7 linked regions of the Rattus norvegicus genome follow. The protein of the gene in region 1 interacts with the protein of each later gene in a biochemical or structural test. Links are inferred from orthologs where the notes say so. Each region holds a gene or a part of one and is shown in the gene's direction. Other genes may lie near its edges. The genes, in order: Trim28, Irf1, Cbx1, Zfp955a, Ubc, Ube2i and Fbp1.

Evidence for each region.
Region 2: the proteins of Trim28 (region 1) and Irf1 form a complex in vitro, tested with the Homo sapiens proteins (2 studies listed by BioGRID). The link is inferred for Rattus norvegicus from reciprocal best matches to the Homo sapiens genes TRIM28 and IRF1.
Region 3: the proteins of Trim28 (region 1) and Cbx1 form a complex in vitro, tested with the Homo sapiens proteins (3 studies listed by BioGRID). The link is inferred for Rattus norvegicus from reciprocal best matches to the Homo sapiens genes TRIM28 and CBX1.
Region 4: the proteins of Trim28 (region 1) and Zfp955a form a complex in vitro, tested with the Homo sapiens proteins (2 studies listed by BioGRID). The link is inferred for Rattus norvegicus from reciprocal best matches to the Homo sapiens genes TRIM28 and ZNF93.
Region 5: the proteins of Trim28 (region 1) and Ubc are reported together in a solved structure, tested with the Homo sapiens proteins (2 studies listed by BioGRID, with this or other methods). The link is inferred for Rattus norvegicus from reciprocal best matches to the Homo sapiens genes TRIM28 and UBC.
Region 6: the proteins of Trim28 (region 1) and Ube2i form a complex in vitro, tested with the Homo sapiens proteins (6 studies listed by BioGRID, with this or other methods). The link is inferred for Rattus norvegicus from reciprocal best matches to the Homo sapiens genes TRIM28 and UBE2I.
Region 7: the proteins of Trim28 (region 1) and Fbp1 form a complex in vitro, tested with the Homo sapiens proteins (2 studies listed by BioGRID). The link is inferred for Rattus norvegicus from reciprocal best matches to the Homo sapiens genes TRIM28 and FBP1.

Annotation. Positions count from the first base shown.
Region 1 is NC_086019.1:82,727,895-82,732,066, forward strand, and holds the end of Trim28 (transcription intermediary factor 1-beta), read left to right. Parts: intron 1-276; coding exon 277-412; intron 413-493; coding exon 494-610; intron 611-680; coding exon 681-795; intron 796-925; coding exon 926-1,072; intron 1,073-1,175; coding exon 1,176-1,290; intron 1,291-1,398; coding exon 1,399-1,505; intron 1,506-1,601; coding exon 1,602-1,638; intron 1,639-1,724; coding exon 1,725-1,770; intron 1,771-1,858; coding exon 1,859-2,111; intron 2,112-2,298; coding exon 2,299-2,618; intron 2,619-2,723; coding exon 2,724-2,847; intron 2,848-2,930; coding exon 2,931-3,017; coding exon of another isoform or gene 3,018-3,095; coding exon 3,096-3,233; coding exon of another isoform or gene 3,234-3,319; coding exon 3,320-3,493; 3' UTR 3,494-3,672; downstream 3,673-4,172. UniProt on the Homo sapiens protein: Nuclear corepressor for KRAB domain-containing zinc finger proteins (KRAB-ZFPs).
Region 2 is NC_086028.1:38,416,733-38,420,734, forward strand, and holds the start of Irf1 (interferon regulatory factor 1), read left to right. Parts: upstream 1-1,202; 5' UTR 1,203-1,391; intron 1,392-2,391; 5' UTR 2,392-2,396; coding exon 2,397-2,483; intron 2,484-3,826; coding exon 3,827-3,926; intron 3,927-4,002. UniProt on the Homo sapiens protein: Transcriptional regulator which displays a remarkable functional diversity in the regulation of cellular responses.
Region 3 is NC_086028.1:82,265,266-82,269,561, forward strand, and holds the start of Cbx1 (chromobox protein homolog 1), read left to right. Parts: upstream 1-1,496; 5' UTR 1,497-1,717; exon of another isoform or gene 1,718-4,296. UniProt on the Homo sapiens protein: Component of heterochromatin. Recognizes and binds histone H3 tails methylated at 'Lys-9', leading to epigenetic repression. Interaction with lamin B receptor (LBR) can contribute to the association of the heterochromatin with the inner nuclear membrane.
Region 4 is NC_086025.1:13,417,361-13,421,651, reverse strand, and holds the start of Zfp955a (zinc finger protein 955A), read left to right. Parts: upstream 1-1,491; 5' UTR 1,492-1,560; coding exon 1,561-1,581; intron 1,582-1,641; exon of another isoform or gene 1,642-1,877; intron 1,878-4,291.
Region 5 is NC_086030.1:36,899,065-36,903,299, forward strand, and holds the start of Ubc (polyubiquitin-C), read left to right. Parts: upstream 1-1,435; 5' UTR 1,436-1,502; exon of another isoform or gene 1,503-2,065; intron 2,066-3,235; 5' UTR 3,236-3,238; coding exon 3,239-4,235.
Region 6 is NC_086028.1:14,795,455-14,799,753, reverse strand, and holds the start of Ube2i (SUMO-conjugating enzyme UBC9), read left to right. Parts: upstream 1-1,499; 5' UTR 1,500-1,567; intron 1,568-2,222; exon of another isoform or gene 2,223-2,361; intron 2,362-4,299. UniProt on the Homo sapiens protein: Accepts the ubiquitin-like proteins SUMO1, SUMO2, SUMO3, SUMO4 and SUMO1P1/SUMO5 from the UBLE1A-UBLE1B E1 complex and catalyzes their covalent attachment to other proteins with the help of an E3 ligase such as RANBP2, CBX4 and ZNF451.
Region 7 is NC_086035.1:2,227,207-2,230,706, forward strand, and holds part of Fbp1 (fructose-1,6-bisphosphatase 1), read left to right. Parts: intron 1-726; coding exon 727-819; intron 820-2,163; coding exon 2,164-2,304; intron 2,305-3,500. UniProt on the Homo sapiens protein: Catalyzes the hydrolysis of fructose 1,6-bisphosphate to fructose 6-phosphate in the presence of divalent cations, acting as a rate-limiting enzyme in gluconeogenesis. Plays a role in regulating glucose sensing and insulin secretion of pancreatic beta-cells.

The DNA of each region.
Region 1 (4,172 bases):
TGTTAAGTACTCTGAGCCATCAGGACCTTGTTTATTTGGCAATGGTTCATTGGCAGATGGAAAGATAACTGAGAAATAGTAAGTAGATTGTCTTTTCATAAGCTTGTTTTTATTCCTTATAATGTTAGTTGGTGTGGTCATTTGGGAGTAAAATTTCCAGATCTAGGTCTTAATAAATGGGCCAGGGTTTTGGGAAAAGCTGGGATAGGGTTATAAGGGGTTTGTTTTCTTTGTTGCTTGAGTTGGAGGTGACTAAGGGCAATTCCTATTTCTTAGGTCCTGCTAAGACTCGAGATGGAGAACGAACAGTCTATTGTAATGTGCACAAGCATGAACCCCTTGTGCTGTTTTGTGAGAGCTGTGACACGCTCACTTGCCGGGACTGCCAACTCAATGCTCACAAGGACCACCAGTGAGTCTCAAGGCGTAGGGGGTTGTTGGATACCATTTCTTAAGTTTTGCATGCAGGCTCACTTTTTTTTTGTGGTCTCAGGTACCAATTCTTGGAAGATGCAGTAAGGAACCAACGTAAACTCTTGGCTTCACTGGTGAAACGTCTTGGGGACAAACATGCCACACTGCAGAAAAACACCAAGGAGGTTCGAAGCTCGTAAGTTCCGGTGCCAGGGCTATTGGGGTCCCAGGGCAAGGTTTCTGGCTTGACTTGACTTGTCCATTAGGATCCGCCAGGTGTCTGATGTGCAGAAGCGAGTGCAGGTTGATGTGAAGATGGCCATTCTGCAGATCATGAAGGAGCTGAATAAACGGGGACGAGTTCTGGTCAATGATGCCCAGGTAAAATTTAGTGCTGGAATGGTATTGGTCTGCTTCTGCTGGTGGCTGACATGACAGTATCCAGGGTGGAGAAGGATCCTTCCTAGTGCTCTGCTTTCTTTAATGAGGCTGTTTTTTCCTTGACTTGCAGAAGGTGACTGAGGGTCAGCAGGAACGTCTGGAGCGTCAGCACTGGACCATGACCAAAATCCAGAAGCACCAGGAACACATTTTGCGCTTTGCCTCTTGGGCTTTGGAGAGTGATAACAATACAGCCCTCTTGCTCTCTAAGAAGCTGGTGTGTAGTGGTGGCCTTCATTATTCAGCTAGGTGGCCCCTCAGCACCTTGGGATCCTGTAAGTTGCCAACTATGCTTATGTGCTACATTTTTGCCCCATTAGATTTATTTCCAGCTGCATCGGGCCCTCAAAATGATTGTGGATCCTGTGGAGCCTCATGGTGAGATGAAGTTTCAGTGGGATCTCAATGCCTGGACCAAGAGTGCTGAAGCCTTTGGTAGGTTACTTAGTCCTTTGCTTTTTTTTTTTTTTTTTTTTTTTTTTTGCTCAACCATGGGAGCATTCAAAGCAGTATTGTGCCTAATGGGGTTTCTCTTTTCTTCAGGTAAGATTGTGGCTGAGCGTCCTGGTACAAACTCCACGGGTCCTGGGCCCATGGCTCCTCCAAGAGCCCCAGGCCCCCTAAGCAAGCAAGGTTCTGGTAGTAGCCAGGTGAGCTGGGTAGAGGAACCAAGGAGAGGGAATGAGGGCCATGGGGGTTTACTTATATCCCTGCTGATGGTACATGTTCTGTTCTTCTGTCTTTAGCCCATGGAAGTACAAGAGGGCTATGGCTTTGGGACAGGTAGGTAGCTTTGCCTAGGAAATTGGGCTTGGTAAGTACCCTCCCTGTCTTTGTCTTTTCTGCCAACTCTTTTGTTTTCTGAGCAGATGATCCCTACTCAAGTGCAGAGCCACATGTATCAGGCATGAAGCGGTAAGTATGGCAACCCATTGAAGTAGCAGGGGGTACAGGATTGGTGTGGTAGGGATGCATGTGAGCTCATGACAAGATATACTAATAGGTCCCGCTCTGGTGAGGGAGAAGTAAGTGGCCTCATGAGGAAGGTGCCACGTGTGAGCCTTGAACGCCTGGATCTGGATCTCACCTCTGATAGCCAGCCACCAGTCTTCAAGGTCTTTCCTGGAAGCACCACTGAGGACTACAATCTAATTGTTATTGAGCGTGGTGCTGCTGCAGCAGCCGCTGGCCAGGCTGGGACTGTGCCACCAGGAGCCCCTGGTGCCCCACCCCTGCCTGGCATGGCCATTGTCAAGGTAAGCCTGTCTTTTTTTTTTTTTTTTTTTTTGGTTCTTTTTTTTCGGAGCTGGGGACCGAACCCAGGGCCTTGCGCTTCCTAGGTAAGCCTGTCTTAATTACATACAGGATGATGCTTAGAGAGTGAAACCTGCTACCCTAGATTCTGATACTAATTCTGATACTAACACTCAATCTGTCTTGCAGGAAGAAGAGACAGAAGCTGCTATTGGAGCCCCTCCTGCTGCCCCTGAGGGGCCTGAAACCAAGCCTGTGTTGATGGCTCTGACTGAAGGCCCTGGGGCTGAGGGACCTCGTCTAGCTTCACCTAGTGGCAGTACCAGCTCAGGCTTGGAGGTGGTAGCTCCTGAGGTTACCTCAGCCCCAGTAAGTGGGCCAGGTATCCTGGATGACAGTGCCACTATCTGCCGTGTATGCCAGAAGCCAGGTGACCTGGTCATGTGCAACCAGTGCGAGTTTTGCTTCCACCTGGATTGTCACCTCCCTTCCCTGCAGGATGTTCCAGGGTATGTGTGAAGCCAGGCAGAATCAGATCGTGGAGGGCTGGTTGTCATCTTTTACAACTAGAGTTGGTTGTCATCTTTTACAACTCCTATTATTCTTCATCCTAGGGAGGAATGGAGTTGCTCACTCTGCCACGTGCTCCCTGATCTAAAGGAGGAAGATGGAAGCCTTAGCTTGGATGGAGCAGATAGCACTGGTGTGGTAGCTAAACTCTCACCAGCCAACCAGCGGGTGAGGGCCGAATGCACATGTGTTGGGTGGCCCAGTAGCTAAGGCCTTCTGTGCTACAACTCTCATATCTCTTGTCTGTCTAGAAATGTGAGCGTGTTCTGCTGGCCCTTTTCTGCCATGAACCGTGCCGCCCCTTGCATCAGCTGGCTACCGACTCTACATTCTCCATGGTGAGTAGTCCCAGAATAGGAGAGGTTGCAGGTGTCAAGTTGGTAGCCCCACTCAATGTCTGTTGTCTCTCCCTGCAGGAGCAGCCTGGTGGTACCCTAGACCTGACCTTGATTCGTGCTCGCCTCCAAGAGAAGCTGTCACCTCCTTATAGCTCCCCCCAGGAGTTTGCCCAGGATGTGGGCCGCATGTTCAAACAGTTCAATAAGCTGACTGAGGTGAGCCTGCAGAATGAAGTGGGGAGGGGGCAGCAGGGGGAAGAAAAGCCAGAACCCACTCACCAGTGTACTCTTAATTGGACCAGGACAAGGCAGATGTTCAGTCCATCATCGGCCTCCAGCGCTTCTTTGAGACACGAATGAATGATGCCTTTGGTGACACCAAGTTTTCTGCTGTGCTGGTAGAACCACCACCACTGAACCTTCCCAGTGCTGGCCTAAGTTCTCAGGAGCTGTCTGGTCCTGGTGATGGCCCCTGAAGCTGGGGCTCTTGTGGTCAGCCCAGTCCAGCTCTGGTCTCTGTATTTTCAACCCATACCCTGTCCTTCCTCTGGTGGCCTGACTACCTGTTCTTGCTGGCCCCATCCCTCAGTCCCTCCTCACAAAATGGTTTTTACTTCTGTGGATTTAATAAAAACTTCACTGAGTCAGTCGCTCATTCCTCAGCTGTTTGGGGACTGTTCCTGAGGACTTAGACTCTGCCTGCATGATACTCTACAGGGGACCTTACCTCATTTGGCAGGGTGAAAGATTTATTTGTACAAGTCTCTGGTGAAACTTGGAGTTCTCAAGTGTGCAATATGCCTCCCAGTGGCCAGATAGCATATTTAGACCTGCAGCTACTCAAAAGCTTAACACTCAAATTGGGTTGTGTGTAGATTCTCAAGGGGTTCTTGTTTTTACAGAGTCTGGCTATCCTGGAAACATATAAACCAGGCTGGCCTTTAACTCAGATTTGTCTACGTCTAGGGTGCCAGGATTGAAGGTATGCGTTAATACTTGAATTATTATCCTTGCTATGACCCATAACAGCACATAATGAGTAGACAGTCATTAGCTTAAATCTCATCTGTTGTCATGGATTGTTAGTATTAAACACCTCACTGAATGTGTTAGATGGAGGTATGCATTGTCTGGATGCTGCCAGCCCACTTTGGT
Region 2 (4,002 bases), on another chromosome or scaffold:
CGGACAGCTAGGGCGAGGAAGGTGACACAGGAGAATGACACCATAGAGGGTTGATGTAAATGCTGTGGGGAAGTGAAGGAAGAAGCCCGAGGAGCCAGAGTTCGGCATGGAACATGTACACACTAGCCCAGCCGCTAGGAGAAAACAAACTGGCAAGGTTTACTCTTGCGCACTAGTTAACCCGCTGCCCTTGCCAACCCTCTGGGACCTGGGTCCCCGATTCTGGCCACAGTTTCCCTATGCTGCCCGGAACTTCTCCAGAGCCAGGCTTTGGGGACTCAGAAATGCCTTCAAGACTATCAGAGAGGAACTTTCTCCCAAAGGCTACAGAGAGGATGTAGAGCTGAAGCAGGAGTCCTAGAAGGAACCACAGTCACTTCTGAATTTTCTCCACTTTCAGGTAGTCCCAGAGATACAAGGGAGAAGGGTCACCTTGTTCACTGCTAGAACCTCGTGAGGCACAGGAAAGCACACACACCATCTCTCCCCATCAGGACGCGGTGTGTCTCCCTGAAACTCCCATCGCTGCAGACTAGTGAGTGGGCTATTGCCATTTTGAGGTTAAGGAAATTAAGAGTCCCTGCGTCCTTCAACAGCTGTGCCTGCAGAGTCCAGGCTGGGAGTTCCTACCGCCTTGCATTCTAAGTTAGGCCTTCTGCCTCAACTTCTCAAAGCAGCAAGTGGCCGTTAAGAGAGTTATCATCTAAAGCAGTATAGGGACCGAATCCCTCCCTTTTTGACACTTCATTACCAGACTGATTTTCAGGGTGATTCGGTCCGGGGGTCCCTTCTGGAGAAGGAAGCAGGTGTTCTGGAGACCTAGGGAGTTAGGTGTCTCCGGTGGAGGAGAAGGGGGAGACCGCCACATGAACCAGCAGGCTAGGAGCCTACAGGACGAGAGGGAGGGCCTCGGCTTTCCAAGACAGGCAAGGGGGCCGGGGGTGGAGTGGAGCACGGGGCGGGCCCGCGGGAGCCCCGGGGCGGTGGCGCGGGCCGAGGGGGTGGGGAGCGCAGCCGCCTTGTACTTCCCCTTCGCCGCTTAGCTCTACAACAGCCTGATTTCCCCGAAATGATGAGGCGAAGTGGGCCAATGGGCGCGCGCGAGCGGCCCGGCGGGGGCGTGGCCGAGTTCGGGCCGGGGAATCCCGCTAAGTGTTTAGATTTCTTCGCGGCGCCGCCGACTCGCCAGTGCGCACTACTCCTTCGTCGAGGTAGGACGAGCTCTCACTGTCTGAGCCAAACCGAACCGGGCCGAGCTGAGCCGAGGTCAGCGGTGGCCAGAGGAACCCAGCATCTCGGGCATCATTCGCTCCGTGCACGCATCGTGTACCTACACCGCAACTCCGTGCCTCATTCCCGGGTACCCTCTGTGACTCGCTCCTGCAGCAAAGGTAAGCCCGCCGGGGCTGCACGGGTACGGACGGGCGGCGTGAAACAAAAGGCGCCCGGGGCACCAGGAAGTGGGGGCCAGAGACACCCTGGGTCGGGGTGGCTCGCTGGCTGGGGAGGGCGCCGCGAGCGAGCGGCCGGGAGGCGGGCCGCGGCGTGCACCGCCCCCTGGCCGCGCTCGGCGGTCTGCGTGCGCGGAGCCGCTGCGGGGCCTCTCGGTAGCCCAGAGCGGCCATCGCGCGCACCCGCTAGCAGCGCCGGGGACTCGGATGTCCGCCCGCGCGCAGTTTTGGCGGTCGCAGCTTGACGCCTGGGCTGTAGGTTTCGAACGCGCAGTGTTCAGTGGCAGAGGTTGGCTCGCTGCCTTGACTGGCTGGACCCGGTCGTGAACTACAAGGCTTTCGGGAGGAGGTGCCACAGGTGTTGCTTGCGCCACTTCTCTTTGCAGCAGGGGAAACCAGGCCGGAAGGGGTTGTGCCCCGGGCTGTATGTTGTGGGCACTAGCTGTCAAGAGGGGATGTAGTCTGGATTGGAATGGGTGGGGGGAAGTGCCCTGGAGGGTGACTTGCTTGCCCAGCCTGGAAGGTGTAGAGCTGGGGGTGACAACAAGCAAAGCAGTCCCTTCCATCCTCCAAAGATTGAATTTTGAGAAAAAAAAGTTATGTGTTTTGCGCACCCCCACCCCCACTTTTTTTTGTACATATATCCTGAAACCATTCAGACAGACTTGCTTGGTTGTTTCTTCCTGAGGCTGGCTGGGAGAGACCGAGATAATGGGCAGGTGGCTTTGCCTATGGTGCTGCCAAGTTTCATTCTACTGTAGGGTCCTTTCTCTATGACTGTGGGACCTGTTACCTGGTTGATGGCAGGAGAGTGGGGGAGGGTAACGACCTGGGTGAGGACCGGGGAAGGTAATTGAGTGATCGGCCTTGGGTGGAGCAGGGCAGTGCCCAGGATTGTTTAACAGACTCTAAACACAGGCCTTCTGTCTTCTCCCTCCAGCCACCATGCCTATCACTCGGATGCGAATGAGACCCTGGCTAGAGATGCAGATTAATTCCAACCAAATTCCAGGGCTGAGCTGGATCAATAAAGTGAGTGTTCTCCTGGGTATTTCTGCTGTTTTAACCCATGTTCTCTTGGGGGGACTCAAGTTCCATTATCGAACATGAGAGCAGGAAAATGTGTTTCCTAGTGGGTGCTGCATGCCAGAACGGCTAAGGTCTGACTTCTGCCGCTTGCTTCTTCCTTCCTGAAGCTGTGGCCAGTCCACCCTCCTAGTGGCAGGCACAGTCTCAGCACCAAGACTTCCCAGCATCTGCAGAGCCCGGGGTCTTCTCTTCCAAGAGAAATGCTGTATCCCTAACATTCCACATAGCTCCAGTTGGATAGACAGGAGACAGAAAAGCGGTCGATGCTGGTTAGGAACAGGGCTAGTTAAGTAGGAACCCAAGAAGTCACAGTTGGCACACCTGGCAGTAGAGCAGCAGTGACAGCATTGGTTATAATGATTATGTGCTTAGCACCGTTTAAATATGATACCAAGTTGCACATTTTAATTGTCATAGTAATCCTGAGAGGTGGGTCTCAGAGAAGGAAACTGAGGCACTTTAAGATAGATTACAAGGTGGTAAAAAGTGTGAAACCCAAACTTGGTTGAAAATGGATACGTTAGCCAGTAGTAACAAGAATGGTGGTAAGATCCTCATCTTAGGGCTGGCTCAGCAGATAAAGGCACCTTCCAGCAAGCCTGACAGCCTGACTTTGATCCCTAATCTCCTCATGGAAAAGGAGAGTACGAACTCCTACAGGTTGTCCTTGGACCTGTACACGGGTGCCGCGGCTTGCGCGCACGTCCAACACGTACACACATAATACATGCATAAAAATTAAAAAATAAAAGCAAAACCTTATTCATTGTGGCTGTTGTCCCCACACATAGATAAACCTTTTCTCTTTGAGTTCTGTCTTATTTAAGGGGAGAGGAATAGGCCAGTACTATACAGGCAGTCCTCATCCAGGTCTGGCCCAGGGCTCCCTTGGGTGTATGAGCAGGACCCTATATAGGAGCCAATGTGCTTGGTGTCCTGAGGAGACTGCAGCTAGAAGTTTCCATGTTCCAATGCTCATTAGCCAGAGATAAACAAGCAGCCAACACCTGCCAGGCCAGGGCCGAGAGGGCACTGCTTAGGTTCTTGCTTACCCCAGGAGCTAAGGCAGGGGTGTCTTTGTTGACCTTCTAGTGCTGTGGCTCGTCAGAACTTAGACCCCCTTCCTAAAAGATGCAGAGCGCCTACCCGTTAAAGGCAGCTGGGATGGGTCAATCTAGGCCAGATGTCGGGGTGAAAAGGGGAAGTCAGCCTTTTCCCATACTTGGGGACCCGTGCATACTCAGCCGCACTCGGAGCTGACACAGTCTTCTATGTGCACTGTTCAGGAAGAGATGATCTTCCAGATCCCATGGAAGCATGCTGCCAAGCACGGTTGGGACATCAACAAGGATGCCTGTCTGTTCCGGAGCTGGGCCATTCACACAGGTGTGCAGGGTGGGGGAGGGGCAGAGGAGAGACAGAGGGGATACAGGCTACCATCCATGCTCTGGGTGGCCTCTCA
Region 3 (4,296 bases), on another chromosome or scaffold:
GGGCATCAGATCCCATTACGGATGGTTGTGAGTAACCATGTGGTTGCTGGGAATTGAACTCAGGACCTCTGGAAGAGCAGTCAGTGCTCTTAACCACTGAGCCATCTCTCCAGCCCCTAGTATTGTCACTATTAAAGTTATCCAGAATGCATGGGTTGCCGCCTGGTTTTGGAGGCTTGACCCAAGTATTTTCAGGAAGAATCAGACTCTTTTGACTGATTTTTGTATGATATTGTGAAGCTAATCTCTCTTTTTCTTTTGTCTTAAGTTTTTTGAACAGGAAAGTTGTCCTTGTTTTGGTTTTTTGAGACATGCTCTCATTCTATAACCTAGGCTGGCCTGGTACTCCTTACATAGCCTAAGCCTCTCTTAAACTCACAACAATCCTCCTGCCTTAATCCTGAGTACTAGTACAAGAGGTCTTGGAAAATTTGATCAGTTCTATTATCTGTTGGACATCTCATATATTCACTTAAACCGACTATCAATGAATTTTTACCAATAAATACTGAGAGTCAAAGCATGACCGTATGCATGCTAGCAATAAGCACAGGACTTTACTGAGTGTGGCGGATACAATGAGTCTTCTGTCCTTACTGGAGTTCCCAGCCCAACAATTAGCAGCAGCAACCTACCTGAATCACAACTAGTGCACTTGTTAAAGAATGACAGTCGTGCCTTTTGCTTAGTTCTGTTTCTCTAGTTTGATAAAGTTTGTTCATGGAGATGAAGAAATCACCATGAAAGTCGCCCACTGGCAAGGACAACAAAGGGAAAGTTTTGCATGTGGTGGCACATGTCTGTAATCTCCGCATTTGGGAAGTGGAAGCAGGAAGATCAGGCGTTTAAGTGCTTCCTTGAGACCCTGTCCACTCAACAAAAACAACTAAAGTGAAACAAGAAAAAAGGAGGGGGAGAGAAAAAAAGAAAATTAAGAAAGTGGCGATGGTGTCTACCTAGAGGTTTAACTTTCTGAACGGAATACTGATTCAAACTGTGAGGTAGGAACCTCTTCTAGGTGGCAATAATAGATAAGCTTGCTGGACATTATTGAAGGTGGAGATTTGATAAATCTCAGGTAACGAATATGATAAGATTTTTCTTTTAAGTGCAGAGTGACCAAACATCAACGTGTTAGTTTCCAAACCCCCGTGTCCTAATTTTGTAGACTGAGCAAGGAGTACTAGCATGCCCCTGAAATCCAGCACTCTGAGGTTTGAAGCAATTGAAAGGCCACAACTTCCGAAGCCAGCTGGGCTACGTACCCTGTTATTAAACAAACAAACCCCACCATTACCCAGTAATTTTCTAGGCTGTAGAGTTATGTGTTCAAAACAGTCGACTTCGCCTTTCCAGAAAGTTAAAAAAAAGAAACTACAAAGAAAACTCTACAACTCCTGAAAGTGGAGGTGGGCGGCGCGGGATTCGCGGCACTCTGGGATTTGTAGTTTCGGGCCGACTCTGAATCCCAAGTTGCCCTGCGGCGGGTCGTCGCGTCTGCGCAGTGCAGGCGGCGGGCCGCGCAGAGTGAGAATCTCTTTTGTTCGGCTGAGGGGAGGGCCGTTGGCCGGGCCTGCGGTACGCCGCTTCATCTGGACGACCGACTTGAGGCCACACGGCTGTTTGCTCCTCTGGGTGCTACTCCCTGGGACCGCCTGACGCAACGCGCAAGAAGCGCGACACCGATTCCTCTCGGACTGTCGGGCGCTGCTACGAGGTGAAGAGGCGGGCTGGAAGCGGGAGGGGGAGCGACGGCGGGAGGCCGCGGGCGAGCGCGGGCCGCTAACGGAAGAGTGGAGACAGGAGCTGGGGACGCGGCCCAGCGCCCGACCGGTCGGTTTCCCGCGCAGAGCTCGCGGTCTGCGGGAGCGTGGAGAGGGCGGGGCAGTGAATCCAGAGTCCGGGCGCGGAGTGGTTCCTGAGGAGCGGAGCCATCGGAGGGTTAGCTTTTCAAGAACTAGACGAGGAGCGTTTGACCCGGCTCAGCAACTCTGGAGTTGGGCGGGAGAAGGAAGAAAACTTTGGGACGTCCATAAGGAGACAGGCTTGGTACTTTGGGTGTGCGTGGCAAGGATCACGACTTCGTACACTAAAGGTTTAGAAGTGTAACCTGAGAGAGTGGACACGGTGGCAATCGCGGGCAATCCCCTTAGCACTTGGAGGAAAGAAAAAGAAACCTGAGGATATTGGGTTCAATTGCCACTATCAGAGAAATTTCTCTTGCCAGAGTTATGAAAAAGTAATTTCCAGTAAAATTGGACGTGGGCTGCTCCGGGTGTGCTAACGGGGAAGAGATTTGTTGAACCTGTCTTGGGGTGAAGGGTCAGACATTTTCTTGACCTTGTCTAAAAGTGGAGTTGCTGGGGTAAGTAGGGTAGAAGTCTAACGTGTCCATGTCAAATGTGGAAGAAAAAAGGGGTACTTGGGGGTGTGTAGCTTAGTTGGTAGAATGTTTGCCTACCCTGCCGCAAACCCCTGGATTCAATCCCCAGTATCCCATAAATTAGGCTGGGTGTGATGGCCTGTACCTGTAATCTTAGCACTTGGGAGCTGGAAACCGGTGGATCGGAAATTTAAGGCCTTCCTTGGCTACCAGAGGAGTCAAGGGTGAAAAGGCCACTTTCTGCCTTTAATAGGTCTTTATTGTGAGTAGGGAGGCTGTATGAGGCAAGACTCATCAGATAAAAAAGGTTCTTGCTGTGTAAGCCTCAATTTAACTCTTAGGATCCAGGTAAAGGTGGAAAGAAAGAGTTGACTTCACAAAATTGTCCTCTGATTGACAAGTGGGGTATGGCAGGGACCAAAGAAAGCAGGTCCTGCATGCCCACAGGCATCGAAAATAGTTTTATACTGAAACACAGTATATGAAATATGGAACTCGGGGCTGGGGATTTAGCTCAGTGGTAGAGCGCTTACCTAGGAAGCGCAAGGCCCTGGGTTCGGTCCCCAGCTCCGAAAAAAAAAGAACCAAAAAAAAAAAAAAAAAAAAGAAAGAAAGAAATATGGAACTCATTTCGGTATTTGGTACTGAGGACCTTGCACACATGCAAGTTGTCTACCACTGAGTTATGTTTCAGTGCCATAAAAAGTCTTAAAAATTATATACTAGTTATATATATTATATACTAGTTACACTAGAATATAGTGTCCTCTCCAGTTTTGTGTTAATCAAAAGATCTAAGGTTTTCTGATAGATGTATGACTATAATCAGGATATTGGTGCCTGTGCTCTTCCTTGGATGCTCTCTAGGCATATATGGGAGGTGGTGTGTTGAAAAGAGCCCAGTTATCTGTGAGTACAGCCAGCATTTGGGGGGTAGAGGCAGGAGCAGCAGAAGTTCAAGGCCTAGGGAAAAGAGTCATATGTTCCTTAAAAGATTTGGGCAGTGAAAGCATTTCTAATTTTCTATCTAGTCACTTTTTTTTATTTTTTTTTTATTTTATGTATATGAGTACACTGTCCCTGTCTTCAGACACACCAGCAGAGAGCATCAGATCTCATTACAGATGGTTGTGAGCCTCTATATGGTTGCTGGGAATTGAACTCAGGACCTCTGGGAGAACTCTTAATTGCTGAGCCATCTCTTCAGCTTCCCTTAGTTTTGAAAAGTGGGGGCGGGTGTTCCATGACATACTTATGGAGATCAGGAACAACTTTGGGGGTGGGGGTCATTCTCTTCTGTAACACTTGTTCTAGTGATTGAACTCAGGTCATTAGGGTTGTGGGACCTTTACCTGTTGAATCAGCCTGATACCCCCATTTTCCAACTTTGAGGACTGGACCTAGAAGTTGGTATGTTTGGATTTTATCATCTTTTTTTTTTTTTTAAATTCATTATATATAAGTACACTGTAGCTGAAGAGGGCATCAGATCTCATAACAGATGGTTGTGAGCCACCATGTGGTTGCTGGGATTTGAATTCAGGACCTCTGAAAGAGCAGTCAGTGCTTTTTTTTTTTTTTTTTTTTTTTTTTTGCTTTTTTTCCGGATCTGGGGACCAAACCCAGGGCCTTGCACTTCCTAGGTAAGCGCTCTACCACTGAGCTAAATCCCCAGCCCCGCAGTCAGTGCTCTTAACCACTGAGCCATCTCTCTCTACAGCCCCTGAACTGAGATAGGTGTGCGCCATCATACCTAGCTGACAGTTTCAATTTTTTTAAGATTTATTTGTTACATATTAATTACACTGTCTATGTCCTCAGACACACCAGAAAAGGGCATCAGATCTCATTACAGATGGTTGTGAGCCACCATGTGGTTGCTGGGATTTGAACTCAGGACCTCTGGAAGGGTA
Region 4 (4,291 bases), on another chromosome or scaffold:
AGAGAATTAAAAATTCCTCAAAATCTAATTAGCCAAATTATTAATCCATATTTTTAAACCTATTCATGGCTTTCCTTGTGACATATTGTCACATATATATGTGATATATATTATGGATTGATCATATCTGACCTCCTAATGACTGCTTTATTATTTCCTCTCTTTCTTGTAGCCTCTGAAATCCTCATGTTCTTCTTTAATAGTCCCTCTACTACTTTTGTTTTGTCTTTTTTTTTGTTTTTATTTCCAGATTGTTGTTTCCACATATGAGTGAAAGTATGTGGTAGCTTTCTTTAGGTAAAACATTAATATGAATGGGGATTACACAGTTCCTCTTATGAATATTAAAATATTGAAAGAAAGATTTCATGATAGAAGAAACGAGAGATGTCCTAAGGACCTCTAAGAGTTATACTGTTGGAATAGTGTCTCTGACTCATCAATAATGACTCTGGGGGTCTCTGACAGCAGCTACTATGATTCGGAGTCTTGGGGATGTTTGCACTTGTGAACTAGGCTTTCCGGGTATAGAACCCCCCTTTTTTTTCTTTTGAAGAACTCTAAGAGTTCCCTTTCATACTTCTTGCGTCCTTTGTATACTATTGCTACAATGTAACTACACAAACAGATACATATACCTCTCACATTGAATAATTGTATCCTTGTTGGAGTATTTTAATTTTCTTGCCTTGGTGGAAACATAAGGTGGACAGGTTATAAAGGAGGAAAGGTCTGGAGTAGGCCTTCTAATAGTGTTCTTGTCTTTTTGGGTGGTTACAAAATTAGTGCTCTGTACATTCCAAAGGAAACTACTGTTCTATTGCATATTCCAAATGATTTTCACAGTAGTCATATAGTTGTTAGGTCAGGTAAAAACTCCCCCAACGTAATGGACTTGTAACAGTCTAAACCCTTTCCAATTCCTGGTGTTCTATATCAATAGAACTGATATCAATATATCAGCCTTACAGAAGGTTCAGTTTATTTCACCTGCATCATCCTGGAGTTTACATGTCAGGTCCCTCTTCTGATCCCGTGTCCAGACTGATTTTAGGGATCTCTCCTACCGTGTAATCATGTATTTTGATTCTGAAGTACTGAATCTCCACACTACCCCATCAATCTTGTTGCAGTATTTTTAAGTGGAAAACTCCACTGTGGTCCACTATATACACCGCCAGGAAAGTTGCTCCAAAAACCCTGACCGTATTTTTCTCAAATACTTGGTTACTCCAGATTGGACCAGGTTTATCCCAGAAGGAAAACAGGTGTATCCCAGAACAAGGAACTGACACCTGTCCATTTGACTGTAACCCTCCAGGGAAGGGATGCTCTCCTGATTATTAGATGATCACCATCTCCAACCCAACCGGGTCCCGCAGCCCCGCTTATCAGTCGCCAATCAGGAAAGCTGTTACGACTTAGCATTAACCGTCCAATGAGAAGCCTGGATATTCGGAAGGTGCGGCCTTTGCCGCCATGTTTGAGTCCCGAGAAACCGTTGAGAGGTGTGCTCCATCGACCTTGTTGACTGTGTTTTCGCTTAGGGAGGACACCTGGATGCATCGGAAGCAGAAGATGGTGAGTGTGCCCTGGGCTCCTTGAATCGTTTGTGGCGGGTTTGTGACACTGCGGTGACTGTGGCGTACTGTGGCGCTGCCGCCCTGACGTTCCCCTGGCGCTGTGCAGCTGAGTGTGAGGAGGAGTCTATCTCCGGTTCTGTCTTACCACCTGCTCTTGAATTGTGAGCAGAGAAGCCAAAAGGGAGTCTGGTGTCCTGTCCTGTCGCCGTGAAGCTGTTTTACTGTAGTTCAGGTCTTGTCAGGATGAGTCCGGGTCACGAATTTGAGCTGCTGCAGACGTTGCAGCGCTGACTGGTTAGTGCTGCTCAGACTCCAACGCGGGGGGAGTGGGTGGAGAGTTCTGTTTGCCCGCCCTTGTACTCCCACTCGACCTGCTTTAGCTTACCCCTGTGATCCTTCTGGGTTCTTTTTAAAAATTTCTCTTTAGTCTCGAAAATCAATCCCTATTTCTCGTTCAAAGTCCTATATATTTCCAATAGCCTCTCTTCCAGCTTCATCATCATCATCATTTTTATTATTCCCCCAGTAAGTGTTGCGAGTATGTGCATGGATGTTTGGAAAGGGAACCTTACCAGTGGCTACTTCTTCTAAACAGAACTATTCTCCAAAAATACTGTTAATTGCCAGTAACTACTTAGTAAGTTGTGGGCCTGGACTGTACCTCTCCCCACAGCTTTGTGAGCTCCTAAGTACAATATCCCTGCCATGTCCAGAAGACAGCATATCACAGAACTCTTCCATGCCCAGCATTTCGCAGTATTTTTCTGTCTTCTCTGGTTCTTAAGCTCCTTTTGCCTCCTCTTCCAAGATGCTCCTTGAGCTGTGGTGGACGCAGCTGGGGGTTAGGTATAGATGTCCCATTTACAACTGAGCACTTTGTCTTTTATTGTCAGCATTTCTTTTGACCTTTTATACATCTCTTTGTTGACTGCTCCTAGAATGAAAAAAAGAAAGAGAAAGGAAGGACCTGAAGTTGCTCCTAGGTATGGTGGAGGAGAAAGTTTATTGTAGCTAACAGGGAGAGCATAGCCAGAGGCAGAGACATTTTGGAGAGTCCACAGTGGAGAGGACCCTGAGCCCTGTGAGGAGAAAGGAAGAGGGGAAAGGAGAGGGGAGAGAGGGGAACTGGAGGCAGCAGCCAGGAGGCCAGAGGTACAAAGGTGAGTGACCAAAATGGTTTGATTACATAGAAATAACAGCCTTGGGCTGGAGAGTTCAGAGTAGGGGGCAATATGCCAGCCAAGAAGGCCCATAATGGATAGGTGCTGAGGGATGCTGGGAGAACCTGATCATCAGTGCCTGCGTTGACATGTTAAGTAGGCACTTCATCCTTTTGTTCCAGGATTTGAGACTTAACACTGCCCATTGTAGAAAGAAGCATCCGTGATCTAGGTTGAGTGCTAGTGGCCAGATCTGAGGCTAAATATAAATATGTGTAAGGCATACTGGCAGTGTAACAGTTTAGCAAAAGAACAAAATCAGGCACTGTCCTCGGGCCTACGAACTCCTCAGCCATTGTCTTTTGACCTTTATTATAGTCCCAGACATGGAATTCTGTCCTGTGGAGGAGGCCTTAAAATACACTTTTAAAGTGGTTAGCTACCCTTGTAACATTTGTGGCTCTTGCCTGGCAGATCAGTATTGCCACACGGAGGGTCCAGCACGGGGTCAGTAAGACTGTTTATGCCTTTTCTCACCTCAGCAGCCTGCATCGCACCTTCTGGAATCTTGAAAGCTAGAGAGCAGCAGGATTTGTTATGCCCTGCGGCCAGAGTCTGTGGTTCCTTCAGTGGTTCCGTTTAAAGCGTAGTTGTGATTGGTGACCAAAAGCAATGACAGGGGTCTGTGTTGTTTGGAAATCCCCGCTCCCTCTTTACAGTGTGGCATATCTTGTTCAGGCTCACATAATAGAACACATTTCTACTGTCTTTGTATTATGAAATAATAGAGGAAACCCCCTTTTTTCATTGGTTTTCTAAACATGAGATAATGCAGGATAATTTCTCCGCACACATTCACATGCACTGATCAGTCTTTAAGCCATCTCTGTAGTACTACAGGTATTGGCATCTTTAAAAAATTTGTGTTTCAATCGACTAATTGTATTTATTTATTTCTGTGTATACATGGTGGGGACTGGGGGAGATGCTGGTATGGTACAGCTGTGGAAGTCCCAGGACAGCTTGTAGGCATCTGTTTTCTCATACCATGTGGAGCCCAGATATCCACTCAGGCTATCACGCAGGTGGCAGGCACTTTAACTGGCTAAGCCACCAGCCCCATCTGCCTTTTTTGTATGTTACAGTAGAAGAGGTTGCCTGGATTGCTGAACAGGATTCTTACTTCTGGGCATGGTGGCGAATCCTAGCATTTAGGAGGCAGAGGCAATCTCTAAGCTCAAAGCCAACATGATCCAGTTGGTCTAGGCTAGTGGGTTCTAGGTGAACCAGGGCTACGGAGTCATACTCTGTCTCCAAACAAAGGAGAAGAACAGAATGGATTCTTTTTCTATTGAGTAGCATACATCCATTTTATCTGTTACAGTTTAACCCTCAGGTTTTCTTGTTAATTATTAGTTTATGTAACCTACCTAGAACTGAGTGTGGAGTAGGATGTTACTGTGTAGAGATATATTGACATTTTATGACTCCTGTGGAGTGGGCCTCAAATTCAGTCAGAAAGCTGTCGGTTACCTCCATAACTTTTTA
Region 5 (4,235 bases), on another chromosome or scaffold:
GTAGCCAGGGCTACTACATATGGAGACCCTGTCTCAAAAAAAAATCTCAAAAAAGAAAAAGGTTGAGATTAAAGGCATTTAATAGTGTGTGTGTCTGTGTGTGTGCATGCTACATGTATGTGAGTGCCCCTAGGGACATTGGACCTCCTTGAAGCCTTGAGAAGCTTTGGAGTCAAAGGCCTTTGTAAGCTAGCTGCCTGACAGGGTTGCTCAGTATTGAACTCTGGAAGAAGACCTGCTCTTACTGCTGAGCCATCTCTCTACCCTAGGGATTCAATTCTTACCTTCTAAGGTCTCAGGCCTTACATTTCAAAAACCTGAATAGGCTGAATTTTACAAGTGGGGTATATGTTTGCTGTAATCTGAACATTGTACTAAACGTGTACTTTTTGTGTGTGTGTGTGGGTTTTTGTTTGGTTTTGGTTTTTTTCAAGACGAGGTTTCACTGTGTAGCCCTGTAGACCAGCACTTAGAGGCAGAGGCAGAAGGATCTCTGTAAACTTGAGACCAGCCCGGTCTACGAAGCCTATTCCAGGACAGCCAGGGCTATACAGAGAAACCCTGTCTGAACAACAAAAATTAAAAAAATAGGATTTCGATGGGTTCAGTCTCAGAATATGAACAACATTTTGATATTTTGACCTTTCCTTAGTGACAATCGAACAGAAAACAGAACCTTCTCGAATCCAAGGACACCAGACATAAACAGACTTAGGAAGAATCTGGAAAGATCTAGTGCCCACTGGGCTTCAGATCTAATGCCAACAGTTTTCAAGAACTGTGAGGACTGACTGCTTTTCTTGACGAATTCAGATTCGTTTTCCCAAACTGGGGAGAGATCCCCCCCCCCCCCATTTTTTTTATAAAAAATAAAAAAAACCGTTGTCATTTCCCTTGTTATGAGATTTGCACAGTCATCCATCCTGTCACCGTGCCAAAACAAAGAGGGCTGGGCACAGTGACGACCGACTCGAGGTGAGGGAACTTAGGAGCCGAGGCCACCAATGGAATATCAGTGTAACAAGAGCCAAAGCCCTAGGTCCCCCTAACAGAAAGAGGCGACTGGGACCCTTGACGGAGGGGGTGGGGGGTAGTTGGTGGGTCTCCGGCTCGCTTAGCCACAGTGCGCCTGCGCCGAGGTCCGCTCCGGCTGCAGTGATCCCTGCCGGGTTTTAGCGCCGATCACGTCACAGGCGCTGATCCCTCCGCGGGGTCGCGCAAGGTCGCAGTCCTGCCCCTCCACACAAAGCCCCTCACTCTCTGGCCTTCGCAGTGGAACAACCCCATGAAGCGATCTTAATGGTTTTAGCCTGTCGCTTCCATTGCAGAGATTGGACCGGGCATTAAAAAGTAGTCCCCAACCGCATTTCCGCGGAGGAATCCAGGGGTGGGCGGGGCTCCCGATGACTATATAAAGAGACGCCTCGCGTCCCGCAGCTAGTTCCGTGGAGACCGCCAGTTCCGTCTCTACTCTTTTGTGAGGACTGCAGCCAACACCGCTGGTGAGGAGAAAGCCGCCACACCCGGCGGGGGCGGGGAGGCGGGAGGGGGCGAGAGACAGCCCGCGGCCCGGACGTTTGGTTTCCGTGGCCCGCGAGGACGGCTGCTGTCCTGAGGCCGAGGACCGGGCGGCAAGATGGCGGCCAAATGGAAGCCTGAGGGGGAAGACGCGCGGTCCTGACGCGCTGGACCAGGTTGGGGGAAGCAGGCCCGCGAGGCCGCTTGCCGCCGGTTAAGCCGGGAACGTCAGAGGCTTGGGTTGGGAACTGAATTCGGTTGGCGCGCTGTAGGAGCCTCTGATGTGAGAACTGTGGGTATTAGACGGGAGGGAGATGTCGGTTATCCGGAATTCGTCGGTTGCTAAATACAGGAGTGCGATTGGGAAGGGAGGGGGAGGGTGGCGGTCCAGCCTAGCCTATCGCCCCTGTGACGTCGCGGTTTGTGTGGTCTCACAGTGTATAGTGACGATGGCTTTAGCTTTCCCTCAGTTGTAGGACCGGGTTTGGGTCTCGGCCTCGGGTAGCCTCTCCAGAGTAAACAGGAACCGGAAATTCAGAGGGGGAACGTGAGCCTGACTTACATTGAGTCTTTCCTTGTCTCGCTACACGGATATGGCTGCGGAAACTATTTATTAGACAAGGGTGTTTTTTTTTTTAAGATTTATTTCTTCAGGGGTTGGGGATTTAGCTCAGTGGTAGAGCGCTTGCCTAGGAAGCGCAAGGCCCTGGGTTCGGTCCCCAGCTCCGGAAAAAAAGAACCAAAAAAAAAAAAGATTTATTTCTTCAGACACACCAGAAGAGGTGTGATCAGATCTCATTACAAATGGTTGTTAGCCACCATATGGTTGCCGGGAATTGAACTCGGGACCTCTGGAAGAGCAGTCAGTGCTATTAATCACTGAGTCATCTTACCAGCCTGACAAGGGTTTTAAACTTTAAAAAAATCTCTGCCTCTACCACCCATGTGATGAGGTCCAAGGCCAGTGCCACTTACCCCAGACTACTTTTTTTTTTAATAGAGTTTATTCAGGGCATGGGAAGGGGAGTTGAGGAGGGAGTAAAGCTGGTCGGAACATGTGGAGAGAGAGCAGGGAGGAGAATGGGGAGAGAAGGGACAGATGGGGTGAAAGTAAGAGGTTAAGAGGATAAGAGTAAGAGTAAACTACTGTTTAATTGTTCAGACAAAAGCTTGGGGGAAGGAGAGTTGAGGCAGGATCTCACTGTCTCAGGCTGACCTCCCAATTCACGAAATCTGCCCACCTCAGTGTCCCCAGTGCTGGGAGGAAAGATATGAACATAGTTCAGTTTTGTAGTAGTAACTGGCTCTATCTACCAGTCGGGACCTGAATCCGGGATTTCCAACTATTGCCTTCTAAGCTCTTGAGTTTCTGACTTCTTTGGAGTGGGTCCTCCTAAACCCCCCTCCCCCAAGGTGAAATGTGGGTCAGGCTTTTCTCCAAACTGCAAATAGTCAGGGACTGACTTTCAGCAGTTCCGTACTGAACGCTCCACCCTGCCAACTTGGTAATAGACAATGCCTAATATTCATAACTTTGTTCCATCAAGACTTTTATTTTCTTGTTGGTTTTAGGGGGTAAAATTCAAAACAGTCTGTGTAGCTATTTAGACTAAACTACTAGCCACCTCACAGATCCAACGGTTGGTGGCACTCTAAAGAATTTGTGTCATTCCTGACCTGTTTTTTGGTTTTTTGTTTTTTGTTTTTTTTTCCATAGACAATGCAGATCTTTGTGAAAACCTTAACTGGTAAGACCATCACCCTGGAGGTCGAGCCCAGTGACACCATTGAAAATGTCAAGGCAAAGATCCAGGACAAGGAGGGCATCCCCCCTGACCAGCAGAGGCTGATCTTTGCAGGCAAGCAGCTGGAAGATGGCCGCACCCTGTCAGACTACAACATCCAGAAGGAGTCCACCTTGCACCTGGTCCTTCGCCTCAGAGGGGGCATGCAGATCTTTGTGAAGACCCTGACAGGCAAGACCATCACCCTGGAGGTCGAGCCCAGTGACACCATTGAAAATGTCAAGGCAAAGATCCAGGACAAGGAGGGCATCCCCCCTGACCAGCAGAGGCTGATCTTTGCAGGCAAGCAGCTGGAAGATGGCCGCACCCTGTCAGACTACAACATCCAGAAGGAGTCCACCCTGCACCTGGTCCTTCGCCTCAGAGGGGGCATGCAGATCTTTGTGAAGACCCTGACAGGCAAGACCATCACCCTGGAGGTCGAGCCCAGTGACACCATTGAAAATGTCAAGGCAAAGATCCAGGACAAGGAGGGCATCCCCCCTGACCAGCAGAGGCTGATCTTTGCAGGCAAGCAGCTGGAAGATGGCCGCACCCTGTCAGATTACAACATCCAGAAGGAGTCCACCCTGCACCTGGTCCTTCGCCTCAGAGGGGGCATGCAGATCTTTGTGAAGACCCTGACAGGCAAGACCATCACCCTGGAGGTCGAGCCCAGTGACACCATTGAAAATGTCAAGGCAAAGATCCAGGACAAGGAGGGCATCCCCCCTGACCAGCAGAGGCTGATCTTTGCAGGCAAGCAGCTGGAAGATGGCCGCACCCTGTCAGACTACAACATCCAGAAGGAGTCCACCTTGCACCTGGTCCTTCGCCTCAGAGGGGGCATGCAGATCTTTGTGAAGACCCTGACAGGCAAGACCATCACCCTGGAGGTCGAGCCCAGTGACACCATTGAAAATGTCAAGGCAA
Region 6 (4,299 bases), on another chromosome or scaffold:
GGTACAATGCACAGGTCAGGGCTGCTCTTGGTCAACATATGTAGGTGCCCAGGAGCCACCAGTCTTGGAAGCTGCTGTGCAGGCTGGGATGGATCCAAAATAGATGCCTTCTGTTGGGGGTACAGATCTGCTGGGGTCACCAACCACCACAACTGGGTGTCACGGACCTGTATCTAAGCAGACCTCATCTACAACTCAGCCCCAATGAGAGAATAAGGTCCCTCAGGATCTGGTGCTCATCGTGATCTTAACTCTAAAACAGTACGGCAAAGAACTGGAGAAATTAACAGGGTGAGCTCCAGGGAACGGTGGGCAATTATGGGCAAAGGGCATGGGACCTGGGTCTCTGTTCTGGGGCACCCAACAGCCTCAGAAGAGAAGAGGAGGACGAGGACGAAGGTTAGTAAATGGATGGAGACATTGACAGATAAACACTGAAGTCTCCAGCAACACAGGGCTCATATTGAGATATCCCAGGAAGCCCTTGTTGGCTGCAAGTGGCCCCGAAGGCTTCCGGCACGTGCCAAAAAATGGAGCAGGCGCCAGGATGGCCACCAGGGGGCCAGCCGACGTTTCTAAGTACCCGTCCCGTCGGTGAGTCGGTGAGGAAGCATCCGAGCACCGAGCTGGGTTGCAGAGGACTAGCGGAGGAAACTGGACTAGGCCACGGAGTGACAACAGCGTGTCCAGTGGTGCCAACAGAAGCCGCGCAGGGGTTTCAGGTGGAACGAGGTGTGGGGTGCAGCATAGGGGAGAGGATTAGGGGCGGGGGAGTTCTCGGGTGCTGCCCCTCCCCCATGGTTCCGGCCCATTCCCCTCCCCCACCGAGGGCTAATTCGTAGGTTAGGGAGCTTCCACATTTCTCTCCCCGTCGGTTTTGTTTGCGTTTGGTCCTTTGTATTAGGTCCGTTCATTGGGTAGGTTCGAGATTTACCCCGCCCAAATTCCAGGGCTAGCCAATTACAGAAAATGTCTCAACGCCCCGTATTCCGGGGATCGTCACCGTACTGCGACGATTCCCAGGATGTTTAGGCCTCAGTGATCTTTGCTCCCGGGACTCGGGCCTTGAGCCCAAGGATACCTCCAGAGCCTGTGCCTGGTAAGGTGCCCTCTGAGCATCCGAATGACCCTTGGAAATCTATGCTTTCTTTTCTTCACACGACTCTCTGATGTGTCCTCGAGTGGACGCGCTGATCCCGATGAGGAGTTTGCAGACGCTCCCTTGAGCCTAGGTCGCGTCCCCTTTAAGAGTGCGGCCGTTCAGGGGACCGCCTGCTTGGACAGGCGCCCCGGGCCCCAGCTCTGTAGGTGGTCGCGGGCAACGAGAGCGCAGCAACCGAGTAAGGGCTGAGCGAAGCTCATGTTTAAATAGACGGCGTAGGCTGCCGGACCGGAAAGACGGTACGCTGAGCAGGCGTGCGGCGGGCAGCCCAACTCAGGCCCCGCCCCGCCCCGCCCGCTGGGGTCCTGCGCTCCGGGCTGCGCGCGGCGGGCGCGGAGGGAAGTCCCGAGACAAAGGAGCGCCGCCGCCTCTGCCGCCGCGACGGTCCGGGCCGCGGTCGCCCAGGTGAGCCGCCACCGGCTTGCGCGCGCACTCCAATCCTCGCCTGGAGTCGCCGCCGTTCCCAGTGAGCTTCCGGGAGGCGCCGAGCGGAGCCACAGCGGCCTCCTCTCGCTCGCGGCCTCCTCCCGCCTCCGAGTCTCGGCCTTCGGGGCAATAGGGCCCAGCCGCTGTGCCATGGGCGAATGCAGGGTTGGGAACACGGCCCACTACCCCCCTACTCTTGGCGTACTGAGTTCCGCCGACCCCACAACAGATAATCTGAGCTTCCCAGTAGCTCCTAGACACATTCTGGGCGGTGCTGGGCTCCGTAGTTAGGCGAGCGGGAGTGCAGGAAGGCCGTGGGCACTGGGCCGTGTCGCGGCCTGTAAGCACCCGGAGTCACAGCAGAAGGCTTGGCTTACTTCGTTCGTTGCTGAGACGCTAGGCTTGTAGTTTGGGTTTTTGTGGGGGTCTTGTGCATGTTCTCTGCCCCACTGTTCTTTTTTCTTAAGGAACCGTTTTAGTGGATGAATTACCTCTCTGCATAGCAGAAAACGGGTATCAAAGGGGAATTTGTTTTGATTCTAAAGGTTTTCAGGCTGTGAGTGATTGCAGTCCTGCCCTCCTCTGGCTGTCTCTGCCACTAGAAACTCAAGAAACGGCGTGGTATACTTAGTGAAGGATCCTTAGGGCCTAGAGTGTGCATTCGAGTAGAAGAGGCCGCTTAGCCTTATCCAAGCCAGCCTTAGTGGCCGGTACCCACGTTTCCTCTGCCGAGGTGGGCGGAGATAAGCAACCTTGCACAGGTTCTCTGACCGGTAAGTAACTCTGAAGTAGGTGGTGTCGCCAGACGAATACTGCACACTGCAGGAACCTTGAGGTGGTAGAAAGACCCATCCCTCTGTGTTCTGCCGGTCTCTAGTAGTGGGGAGAGGATTGTATTTTGTTGTTTTTTGGGGGTTTTTTCCTTCGAATTTTTCTTTGCCGGGGGTAGGGGTGTATTTACATCACAAAACTTTAGCTCGTGGAGTGACTGTTACCGCTCTCGGGAGCAGCGGCACTGTCTCAAGGACCAGTTTCTGCTTAGATCGTTGCCAGTGTGTCTCTAGGGTTCCTTTTCTTTGACCGTGGGACCTTTAAGAGCTCTGGTAAGAGCCGTCTCTCACTTTGCCTCCCTGCTTTTGAGACAGCATCTCTTGTAGCCAAGGCTAACCTTGAACTCTTGGGGGTCCCCCTGGTTCAGTCTCCTTAACACTTGAGTGTGCAGGCACGAGCCACCACTTGAGCTAGCTTCTCGGTTCTTCTCACTTAGGATAACTGCAGTTGGATGCTAGGACAGAGTTTTCTGGGCACACAACTTTCTCCTGAGGTCAGTTATGGCTGTCCAACAGCTTGTGTAGCATAGTGTCCAGGCTTCTTCAGAGAACTGACCCGGGGTCCAGAGACCTGTTTGGAAACCCTGCCCAGACTTGCTTGGGATCTTCTGCCATCTGACTGGCTGGGTGAGGAGAGCAGCTCCTTCACTGCCTACCCTTAGTTAAAGAAGCTAGAGTGCTTGTACCCTTAAGCCCGAGGACGAGATTGGGCTTGTGCATTGAGAAGTTGAGAAGAGGGACACATTGGATACATAGGCTTCTGTGCCCTGCTCCAGCCATTGATGTCCTTGGGTCTACCTCTGCCCTCATACCCTCTAACCAGACAGCTCAGGTGCGCCAGTGTCACCTGGGCGTTGCTGTCAAAGCTTGCTCTTATCAGCAGCCCCTGTGGCCAGCAAACTGCCTGTCCTCTTAGATGGATGCCACCTGGGTCCTACATTGACTACAAGGACTATTATTAGGGCAGGTGTTGGGGTGGCCAGAACCTCCGTGGTTGTGCTTGTTCGCAGACAGGCTTTACTCCTTGCTGGGGAAAGACAGTTGGGTTTGGGCTGGACCCTGTGTTTTAGACTTGAGGTCGGTAAGAGAGGAGCCTTGCCTTTAGTTTGTACACTTTGTGCTTTGGGACTGGAGCTGTGGAACATAGGTGCTGCCTTTTGTGATTTATAAAAAAGGAATCAGGATGTTTGATAGAGCTAGGTATGCTTAGGAATGCCAACATTGTCGAGGCTTGTCTTGGCGGCTTGTGCTTTTTTTTTTTTTTTTTTTAATTTTAGAATCTATTTTATGTGCATTGTTGTTTTATCTGCATTCCTCTATGTGAGGTTGTCAGGTTCCCTGGAACTGGAGTTACAGGCAAATAAGCTGCCATGTAGGTGCTGGAAATTAAACCAGGTATTCTGGAAGAGCATGTAGTACTCTTAATTGCTGAGCTATCTCACCACTCCCAGCTTGTGCTTCTGAAAGTTTCTTCATGTTGGCTTAGAGTGTACAGGATATTAAAAATGCCAATACAGGGGTTGGGGATTTAGCTCAGTGGTAGAGCGCTTGCCTAGCTGGTTCGGTCCCCAGCTCCGGAAAAAAAAAAATGCCAATACAGGCGTTTGTCTAAAAGTGACCTCACCCACTAAAATGTTTCCTGAACTCTAGGCTCCTGGGTGATGCTGCCACCTCTGATGGCAGTCCCAGCCTTTCTCTACTTGTGTACTTGTACAGTCATCAAAAGCAGTCTAGGGTGCTGTGGTGCATAATTGTCAAGGCCAGCCTGGTCTACATAGTATGTTTCTGGCCAGCTGTGGCCACATGGTGAGAATGTCTCCAAAAATAAAGGAAAGGAAAAAGTGGTCTAGGAGCCAGGTGGAGTGACTCATGCCTGTAATC
Region 7 (3,500 bases), on another chromosome or scaffold:
TAGCTGATAACTTATTTAACCGTTTAAACTATTTTATGTCTACAACTTGGTTGGGTTAACTATCCTTCAGTCCTGGCCCACTTTTTGCTTCTCATCTCTTCAGCGTCCCCCTCAGCGTCTCTCTGAACTCATCTACCTGCTGGTTTATGTCCGTCTCCTCAGTCCTCCTCCTGTCTTGCCTCCTTCGTCTCTCCCCTCAGCTCTCTTTTACTTCTTACTATTTCCTAAAATCCCCTCTTCCTGCCAGTGTCCCACCTCCTGTTTCCTGCCTCAGTTCATTGGCCATTGGCTTCTCTATTGACTGGTGAGGCTTGTAATAGTCTCTCTACAAGTAGCTTCTACCACACATGAGTGACAACGATGTCTTCTTACAAGCCTAAGTACTAAGAATGGCTTCCAGCGCCTTGAGGCCTTAGAAGTAAGAGAAACAAATGACTAATTCTGTTTTGCTTTTTTTTTCCTTTGGAGCTGCCAGGACACTCTCAAACCAAATATGATTCAGTTATATCAGTGGCATAGGAAACAATGATTTAATTATCTGTTTTCTATCACTCCCTACTTTCTGTTCTAAATGATACGTTATCTCCCTGTCTGTCTGTCATCTGTCCATCCATCTTCGCATACTCCCAAACAGAATATAAATAGATAAGACCACTTTCCCCGCCTTGTCCTTTAAGTCCACTCAATACCTACGCACCGTGCTTGCCTTCTGTTTTCTTTGTCCAGGGCAAATATGTTGTCTGTTTTGATCCCCTCGATGGCTCATCCAACATCGACTGCCTCGCGTCCATCGGAACCATCTTTGGCATTTACAGAAAGGTAAAGTGAACTAAGGTGAAATGCACACAGCCCCTGGCTTTGACCAAAAAATAAGCATAGAGCATAAAGCTGTGTGGCTTGAACAGATGTGCAGCAAAATCTTATGACCTTGCATGTACTGTGCAAGAAAGGTCCACAGAGCTGCTGAGATACAGTGGTAGAATGCTGGTGGACCGAGAGGCCATTGCGCACTCTCAGCTATCTCTCTTTCACAAAAGACAGGGCAGATATTGTGACAACCTCCCCAAACCAGCCCAACCAGTCCCACTGTTTTCTTCTTTAAGCCGAAAGCTTCCCCCACCCCTGAGCTCTTTTCATAGGATACCGAGAACAAAGCCAAACAAGTCTTCTCACTTGGGACGACCCACCTCTCTTAGTTTAGTCTTGCTCTAGTAACTGGCAATATCCTTAAAAAGTATTTGGTTCCCATAACCGAGAATGGAACCGTAAAGGGAATGGTTGTCTGCCCTTGTGAGAGAAAAGCCCCAGGGAAACCAACCATCCAAACCACAAAAGAAAAAAAGAAAAAAGAAAAAAGGAAAACAAATTTTCTTTTCTTCCCCTGCCCGCCCCCCTCCCCCCAAGCCTCTGGTAACCTCCGTTCCCTCTCGGGTTCTGTGAGACCAGCTTTATAATGCCCTGTCCCCAGCACCTAGCTTGTCCTCTGACAACGCCAGAGAGATGCTACAAACTATGTTTCTGAGAATCTCTTTGCCATGGGAGTAACTGACCACACTGCTCAGTGAGCGTATACTTCAACTGACAACAGCTCACAGAATCGATTTTCTCATGAGACGCTCAGCCCAGCAGCCCTTGTGCTAATCTGTTTAAATAAAGATAGAAAAGGTAGGCGAAAGGTGCTGGGGCCTGTAATCAGGTTACATTCGTGGGGCTGGTGATAATGGGCGTTGCTTTTGGAAGCGGTAACAGAGACACGAGGGAAAATCAAATTAGAAAGATGTTAAGATGGAAAGAAAGATCCCGATGCCGGAAGCCAGGGCCCTTCAGGAAGCCCACTGCAATCAGAGAGCTGCTGGTGTGTGGAGAAAAGCAACACCTGGGACATCAGTGGCTTTCAAGGAAGCAAATGGTTCTCAACCTATATAGGTCTCAACCCCCTTAGAGGTTGCATATAGGGTATTTATATTACGATTTAGTACTGTAGAAAAAGCTATGAAACAGCAACGGAAATAATTTCATGGCTGGGGGGGGGGCGGTTCACGTTTAACGGGTGGTAGCATTAGGAAGGTTGAGAACCATTGCATTAGACGGCTGGACTGGAAAAAGAAAAAGGACCCCACGAAGCAAAGTGGAAACGTGCCTTTGTTTTCTCTTTTGCTTTAGACATCTGCTAATGAGCCTTCGGAGAAAGATGCTCTGCAGCCAGGCAGGAACCTGGTGGCAGCAGGCTATGCACTCTATGGCAGCGCCACCATGTTGGTCCTGGCCATGAATTGTGGCGTCAACTGCTTCATGCTGGACCCGGTGAGACATCCCTTAGACCGAGTACTTAGCTAGTAGCTTTGAGCTTGGACCTGGTTGGTGTGTGTGTGTGTGTGTGTGTGTGTGTGTGTGTGTGTGCGCGCGCGCGCGCGCGCGTGCCACCTAACCTGGGCCCGGAGAACTGACCCCAAGTCCTCTGGAAGAGCAGGAAGTGCCGAACCATCTCTTCAGCTCTCTCCTCTTTCTCCCCCCACCCCACCCCATCCCAAACAAAACAAAACACAACCAAAAACAACAAAAACCACGCACACAAGGTACAAAGCACAGCATGGCGTCCTCTGTGAGAGGCCTGGGAGAGATTTGCTCGGGGTGTGGCAAAGTGCTGTAAATCAGAGCATGATCTCTACCTTTGATCTGTGCATGCTTAACAAAACTGCACTTTCACCTTCCTGGGGGCAGGAACATTTAATTAATCAACTAATACCGGAGAGGAGGGGTGGCCACACGAATCAAAATCTCGGCATAAGTCCCCAGGGGAAAGCAGGGCAGGTCCAGATGGAACTTTAATCTGAGAGAAGGGCACAGCTTCTGAAAGCAGTGATGACTGCCAAAGTGTCACCTGTCCAGCTTGTCCAGTCCTCTGGATGAGCTCCCGGTGCCCCCGCTCTCACTTTTGAATAGACAGACATTTGGGGGAAAATTCAGTCTCTTGACTGCCGACTGCATCCGGGCTTGTGAATGGCTGGGTTTCTCCCTCCCCAGACACAGATGTTTTTGCTGGATCAGTGCAGCCGCTGGAATGCTCCCTTGCTGATTGCCAGGGATAGTTTCGATTTGCACCCTTTTGCTCGCTCTCTTTGGCCTGATGGAGGCAAGACTACTCCGGGGAGACGGCTAAGTGCCTCTCCCTTTCCTCGTGTCTCCCCTGCCAGGACTGCTAGGCTGAGACCCACCTGTGGCTACAAGTGGGTTTCTAGCAGGCTTCGGCTTTCGTTGAGCTTTTATAGCTCCTGTCTCTCTATGTGGGAGACTCTCCTTCACCTTCTGGGTACTCAGGCTGGGTACCAAGATGGCTGCCTGGGGAGCACGGGGGCCCGAGCTCTGCTGGTAGTTCCGGTTGCTTGCTGTGAGATGGTTTCCTTTTTCAGATGTTTTAGGTAGAGATATTTATTTTGTCTTCCTGACTATACAGAAGTATTCCTGTAAGTTCGTGGCCCAAATTTTTAGAAATAGAAACC